Linked DNA regions of Nothobranchius furzeri. The protein of the gene in region 2 interacts with the protein of the main gene of each other region in a pairwise test. Links are inferred from orthologs where the notes say so. Each region holds a gene or a part of one and is shown on either strand. Other genes may lie near its edges. The genes, in order: cnot4a and cnot1.

Region 1 (3,826 bases), about 22 Mb from region 2:
ATATTTCTCAGCAGTCAGACACTCCAGCTCCTTTCTCTCAACTCTCTGTGTAAGGCCTCGTTTAAGCCCTCTGGGACCTGACACCCTCCATTACCCTCATTAGTATTTGACTCGAGTCCTGTCCATGTGGTGGCTGTCCATGTTAGGGCTAGTATGGTAGGTACCACACAGTGGCACTGTTAGAGTCTAACCCTAGTGCTCAGGATGTGTGCCATGAGTTCCCACAGCCCCGGCTCCCTGTGGTAAGGCGCTGCTCTACCCTCTGATACAGAGGTTCAGCTAAATTCTCCCTCCAGCCGGATGGGGCCCATGGGGGCCCCTCACTAAAGAGAGCATGAGCCAAGTGGCCTCTGATGCAGGCCATTTGTGTCCCTACCTAACAGGGAGCCCATGCATAGCCTGTGCTCTCAGATTCGGTGGCATCTTCGTTCTCCCTCCAGTCCAATCGGATATATTTTCAGATTATATTGATTTCAGTAAAAGGCTAAGTGCTGACCTCTCTTATCGCTGTCTAACCTTGCTTTAATCACAACATGGCTGTAAGATTTAACCGTTTGTCTTCTCTGAAGGGGGGGTGGGTGGGGGGTACAATGAGAGTCTTTGGGGCAAAGCTTCAAAGAGCAGATTCACAGCTTGCTTTTATTCCTCAAAGACTGATCGCGACTCTCCAACAACACAAAATGTTTTCATGCTTAATCATTAGTTACATTTGTTAAAATTACCTCACTTCTGCTAATTTATTTCATTGCCAGCTTGTGGGGTCAGCTGGAGTCACCGCTGGGCCTCTTTAATGCTATGCTGATTCTTGTGCTCTGGTGACATTAAGCTACACGTTGAATCTCCCGTTTGCTCCCAGTACTAGGTCTAAGGAGTCGTGATGGCAGCAGACAGAAAGTACTGGGAACCAGTGTGCCGCAAACAAAAACCAAACAGGGCTTTAGGGGAGACGCATGGGAGGAGGAAGAGGGGAAAAAAGAAGAAGAAAGCAAATTAGTTATTTAGTTAATTTTTCCCATACTCTGCAGATTGGTGTGTTTTTGCATGGGGGAAAGGAAGCGGGACAACAGGATGAGTGGGTAGAAAGTTGGGAAACAGGTTAATGGATCTGCTCCAGTCTGTGTTCAGTGGCGATCCACGGCGGCGCTCTGTAGTAGCTCTGTGGCGGGCTGTCCTGGGGGTCTGAAGGCGGTCTGGAAGCCTGGTGGAGGGGAGTGGAACTGACTGGCAGGGTTGGCTGTGGGAGGGGGCAGGTAGGGAGCCCAGCCACTGGGGGCTCTGTGGTGGAGAGGGAGGTGGCCATCGAGGAGGCCGCTGTGGAGGGGCTGGGGTGTGGGCACGGCTGAGCTGGCAGGGCCGTCCATCTCTGTAAGAGCCTGCAGCGATTTGAGCCAGTGTGGCGGGTTGTCGTCGTGGAGACAGTCTAAACTGTTGCCTGCCGAGGCCGGGATGCCTGGGGGGGGGAGAGATGGATCATCAGATACAAGCAGTGGCAACGATGCAAAGAAGTTTTCAGTGACTGATACTTTAGAGACTCGGGTCTTTACAGAAGCAGCTGGCTGTAGGTGAGTCCTGGTGGGGTGTGCTTACTTATGACATTATTATTATTATTATTAGCAGTATTATTGTCTGGATGTAAAAAACATGGTCTAAAGCCAGTTTAGGGTGACAGAATTAAATCTTTATGAGTTTTCACAAAAAAGTATGCAACAATATCAGAGATGATGCTGATATGAAGAATATTTCACTGTGAGAAAATAAAGTTTCATCCTGTAACCTCCTGAGACTCTGCGGCCACATGTGAGAACATTGGATTCATGCACTCGTTTTATTCTCTTCAACTTAGACCTATTATTTTAATTTTTTACTTGATATTTAAGTTTTAAAAAGACATTCTTATTTTATTAAACAAGATTTTTTATCCAAGTGATATTTTGTTCACGTCTGAGTCGACTAATCTGCAATAGCTAGAATTTTATTTTTTTAAATCACACCAAAACAAATTAGGGTCTCAAGAGATTAAAGACCAAGTTCACTCGTTGTTTCAACACATTTGCAGTGGTCTCTAGTATAAATGAACGCCTTGTGAGTCAATCTTTGTGGAAAAAAAGCTCTGGTGCTCCTGTTTCAGGAACTAGAAGTGAGCCAGAGCAGAGGTGAGCACAACATTGAAGAATTTGGAGTTTTGTTTCCTGATACTTTGACATCTCGCCTCTGATTGGCTAACAGCAACAAAACTGACTGTTTGCGCTGCAATGTTGATGTTTTACTTACACAAATAACACAAGAAGTTCTGCCATGTGGTGGAGTTGCTAATGCTAATAGTTAGCTTCTACTAGCGAAGATTAGGGATGGGTACCGAATTCGGTACTTTTTAAGGTACCGACCGAATTCCATAGTACCGGCCGAGCACCGATTCACGTCATTTCAAACGGTACCTCGTTTTGGTACCCGTCCATCATAACGAGAACTTGCCAAGACAGCTGCGCATGCGCAAGAGCGTTATGTCGTCGCTCGCTACGAGCGTGTTGTAAACATGGGTAGAAAGAACGCACGCTAAATCTTGGGTCCACTTCACTAAATGTGATGGGTAACTGGGTGATGATGAAACCAGCGACAACGATCTAAGTGAGACATCCTCATCTTAATCTGCTCCGGTAGGTAAATATAATTAGCTTGATATGTTAGCTTCCATTCTGCTAATGGTGCGTTTGCTTTCTCCTCGGAACTCCGAAATTCCGACTAGAAGAACATGAACGCGCTCAAAAGTTTGGCTTCACTTTACTAAATGCGACGGGTGATTGGGTGAAGATGAAACCAGCGACAACGATTTAAGTGTGAGGCATCATCGTTTTAATCCCTCCAGCAGATAAATAAACTGTTTAAGATAACGTTAGCTTGATATGTTAGCTTCCATTGCCACCGTTGTTATCAGCTAATGGTGCGTTCGCTTTCTCCTCGGAAATTCTAACTTCCCAGTAGGAAAAATCAAATGAAAAAAGACGGCAAAAGGAATGAAGATACACAGTAAATTTAGTTCACAGTAAAGATGTTTGCTTCAGTTTAATTATCAACTTATAAAACTACAAGGACGATGTTAAAATACAAACAGTTGAATGTTATTTATCGTGATATTTATCAAATATGGTTATATATTGAGAAAAATATATATCTAATTATAAAAGAGAATTAAAATAATAAACACTCAAAAGTTTCGAATATTGGTACCATTAAGTACCGGTATCGATTCCTAGGTACCGGGAATTAGTACCGAATCGATTCAAATGTCAAAGGTACCCATCCCTAGCCAAGATGTTCTTTGCCTTTTTCTGGGCACTAAACCAACAACAGCCTTCCCCGTCGTAAGCCAAGATGGTAGAGTCCATGAACGTTAAGTGACAGAGTGACGTTTCCTAGAGTTTCACCGCTTATTTTCTATTCAGCAGATTTTGCATGAAATAGGTGTGGAAGGCTTTTCACATTTCACTCAAAGTGACCATCGCATTCTGAAAATGAATTTAAAAAAATGTTTCTAGGTGAACTTGGTCTGTAAATCAGGCTACTTTTGTGTCCTTTTGCTGCTGAAGGACAAAATACCCTGCCAGGCTAATGACCACCTTTAGGAGCTAATATGATTGAGATGAAAAGAGCTAAACTACCTGTGATGATAGCAGGATCCATCCAGCTGGCTGTGCCATCCCAGCTGAGGCTGTGCGACATTCCTGTTGGCCCTACTGACCCGCCAGTGTGGTTAACACTGTTGGAGGATGAGGAAGATGAAGAGGAGGAGGAGTTTGGGAGGCCACCAAAGTTGATATTGATGTTGGGC
Region 2 (3,926 bases):
AGAGCTTCTCTGATCAAAAATCAAAATAAAACTCTGCTTTCTCAAATAAGTATATTATGTACATGTTGGTAATAAATGTATGCAACGCAGATACAAATTATTACTTATTATTATTATAAATAATTATTACACAGCCAGATAACCTCTCATACTCAGGCTTTTTAATTGTTTCCAGATTTGACCATCCTACAGAAGATACAGGACTGCCAACATCCTCATCCAGAATTTTTTTTCCTATTTCTGTCATTAACTTTCCAGAATGTACTCCATTATGGATTTTTATGGCATTCTAAAATGTATACAATAGAATAAAATGATGCAAATATATGCCAAGTAATACTTTCTTTTAACAATCCTAAAAAGCTGTCATAATCTGATTTGACCCTCCCACTATCTTTATGGGTGACCCTGTGAGGAAAGTTGACAATTGAGCAGGATTGATGGTATATCCCTTGAGGTCCACGTGGCAGGGGTGAGGTGGTGCTCACTCCCCAACCCTGCCACATGGACCCAAGGGATAAACCATCAACCCAGCTCAATGGTCAACTTTCCTCATGAGGTCACACCCATTAGGACAGTGGGAGGGTTAAATGTTTACACCATTTGGAGTTATGAGGGTTACTTTACAGAAAGTTTGTTGATTTGTTGTTATTGAGAAATATTTATGATTATGTAATTTTCCTAATTAATGCACCAAATAGAGCAGTGCTAATATAGGCTTTAATAAAAACACGTTTTCACTTGTATCTTTGGGTTTAATGTTGCTTCAGTTGCAAAAGTAATGTAACCTGCTTAGAGACAAATTTAAAAAACTATTGTATGCTGTTCTGTTAAGTTATCCAATACATGACTAGATTTGTATTTCTTGGTCCATTTGCTTTTCTTTTATTTTATTTTATTTTTTGAGATGCATGTGTAGCTAAAGACAAAAGACCCTAGGAAGATCAGGGACAACCGTTTTTCCCTAAATAAACCAAAAGCATCGCATTTGATCTCCTATCTGGAATAAAATTCGTTTGGAGCTGTGACAAGCACTCTGCGTGCAGTGCGTGCGAGCGCACGTTACGAGTCGCGCGGATAGCTCGAGTTCTGGACGCGTGAACGCGCCGTGGCGGTGACAGACGCCATTTTATTTTGAAAACCAAACTGAAGTGGAGGCCCAGCAACTCTTCCATTTCATCAAGTTTGTTGCGGGATACTAGAAGGAATGAGGATCTGAAATACTTTGTTGTTGGCATGGTGAGATTAGAAGTGTGTTTTAATCAAATGACCACCGACAAGTATAGAATAGCCAGCGACACAAACGCGGAGTATTCGTTAGCCACTAGCGCTAAGGGACGGGAGGGGTTGTCTAATTGCTGAGAAACAGCTGTGATATTGTTAATCCAAAAAGTAGTATTTCTCCATTTACCAACCTTTACTATGCGATGCAGGCCATTTTACAGAGATGAGATGTCTAAATAGAAGCTGAATGTAGTACTAAATATGTTAAGATTAAGGTTAAATATTTGTTTCGAGTCAATCAGCGTTTGTAACTATGTTAGCAAGTCCACAGAGTAGTCGGAGCCCACTGAAACAAGCTAACGAGGTTGACGCTAAAGCTCGCGACTCAGGACGTATGAAAAAAAAAACACTTCGTAGCGTTTACGCTCACAACAGAAATTGCCTAAACGAATCAACAGTACTCGTTTGCATAGTCAATTGCATCTTGACATGTGTAAAGATTTTCTTGATTGGGTTTCCTGTCTCGTGTTCACCCATTCGAAACAGGCTCGCGCTGCTAATTGATTAGCATTAGCTTGTAGCCTTGAATTAAAGAAATACAAGTGACTGCAGTCATGTTGTAATGGTCCGTGAGATGAAAGTATAAAGTAAAGTAATCGCATGTTTTTACAAGGCATTAGTTTTGAATGTCTAGTTACCGAATTGTCGATAAAAGGTGCTGTTAGTAGCGTTTCTCAGAGTCATGCTGTTGTAAAACGGCTAAAATCATCTTATTGGCCTTTGAATTAATCTCTCTGGAACGTGAATGATTTTTCAAATGTCAAAACGTAGTCACATATAATCAACATATTTGGCCTTTTAAGATTACACCTAAACTCTTTGATATTTGCGATAGTTTAACATAAGAACCGATGACTTGTGCTGTCTTGTTTGTTAAATACTTTAACATTAGTCAGTTCTGTTATTAGAAGCCATTGTTGTCACAGTTTGTTGTTCTGAGCTAATCAGGCTTTAACAGTCCGACCGATATTGGTGTACAGTTAGGCCGTGTTCAAAGTTGTTCCACCTCGATAACTTCACATTGCATTAAGGAAAATCCAACGAATTAACATTTTGAGGGCAGTAAATTAGATTTGTCTTTTTGGGTTTTTCTACCCGGCCTCACAGACTGTCCCAGTAATGCGAGTTAATATCAATTATTGGCCAAAAGTTTTTCACTTTCATGTGTTTCACACGTTTTAATATATTATCTTATTTTTTTTATTTTTTGCAGATGCTGAACTTGATTTTAAACTGAAGGACTTGTCTACTAGCACTGGGTACCACTGAACTGAACACACGTTTGGAAGGCCAACACTTGTCACACCTTTGGGGGGGGGGGGAGCAAAAGTAACCTATCACTGAAGTGACTAAAGGGGAATAATGGTGATTTTGCGCCGTGCTCGGCCGCCTGCTTCCGCCCCAACCAGCAATGAATCTTGACTCGCTCTCGCTGGCTTTGTCTCAAATCAGCTATCTGGTGGACAATTTAACAAAGAAAAACTACCGAGCCAGCCAGCAAGAAATACAACATGTAAGTAGGAGCAACATAAAATTTATTAATTTATTTTTGTTGTTGCAGGAAAAAACTTGTTTCACTTAAAGTTAAAATGGCTGTTTGTTTTTGTTTTAGCCCTAGGCTAATTACCTCTGTAGGTTATATTTGGTTGATGAAAAAGAGCATCCTTGTGAAATTTTATCTTAATGGAGCTCTTTGATGACGGTAAACTGAGATTTTGCTGGTATCAGTTCTACGATGTTCACATTTTCTAAATACAAGATGAAATTCTCAATCATATATTGAGGTCTCCTGTCCCGCGTAGACCTCCAGACAGCTCTTCCCCGAGCTTTTCTCCATTAGAGCTGGAAATCAGATCAGACACTGCACAGGGACTGTGACAGATTCCTTTAGCAGCAGATTTTAAATAAACTTAATGATTGCAGCTTTGAGCAAGTTATGCCCAAGATAAACAGAAGTCCACTGTAGCGCAGGGACTGCCCCATACCCCCTTTATGCCGCCGTCGCCTAATCTTTTATAAAAGGACATGATTGTGCCACTTTACCGCCACGGTCTGACCGCTTATAAAAGACCTTAGGCTACCTGATGCTGCCACAGCGCTGCGGCAAATTGACTGCATTGTTTTGATAAAACGGCTATAGTTGAACAGCATTTGAACAAACTCAGAGGATCTAAAAGAACAGACTTTAGAGTCACTGGACTAAAAAAGGGGTCGTGTTAGATAAGTGATAAAACCCTGGTTTAGTGAAATGGGCCATCAGGATTAGACAAATGACACTACAAAGCAATAAAAATGCAAGTCAAAATGCTGAATTTTTATGTATGAATAGCCTGTCATGGAATAGAAACCCATAACTCCCATTGATGAGACGTGGAGATTTCAATCTCGTTGTCCTCTGAAACCTAAGTGCTCGCATATCGGCATTCTGAGTTCATTGCGTCATTTCTGGCTAACTTATCTTGGAAAAACGAGTTCCGAGGACAACTGGAATGCACCATAAGTCTCCGAGCAACGCCATGTTAACTTCTATGGGAGCCCATGAGGACAAAATGCATTTACTGATTTGTAGTGCCGCTCAATTAATAGAATTTTAATCGCAAGTACGATATGAGTTTTGAACGATTGTTAAAATAAAATTTGCT

What was found.
Region 1: the proteins of cnot1 (region 2) and cnot4a interact in a two-hybrid assay, tested with the Homo sapiens proteins (3 studies listed by BioGRID and IntAct, with this or other methods). The link is inferred for Nothobranchius furzeri from reciprocal best matches to the Homo sapiens genes CNOT1 and CNOT4.

The regions. Positions count from the first base shown.
Region 1 is NC_091744.1:59,528,756-59,532,581, forward strand, and holds part of cnot4a (CCR4-NOT transcription complex subunit 4), read right to left. Parts: coding exon 3,657-3,826; intron 1,451-3,656; coding exon 1,122-1,450; 3' UTR 1-1,121. UniProt on the Homo sapiens protein: Has E3 ubiquitin ligase activity, promoting ubiquitination and degradation of target proteins. Involved in activation of the JAK/STAT pathway. Catalyzes ubiquitination of methylated RBM15.
Region 2 is NC_091744.1:81,566,591-81,570,516, forward strand, and holds the start of cnot1 (CCR4-NOT transcription complex subunit 1), read left to right. Parts: upstream 1-1,102; 5' UTR 1,103-1,239; intron 1,240-2,497; 5' UTR 2,498-2,695; coding exon 2,696-2,797; intron 2,798-3,926.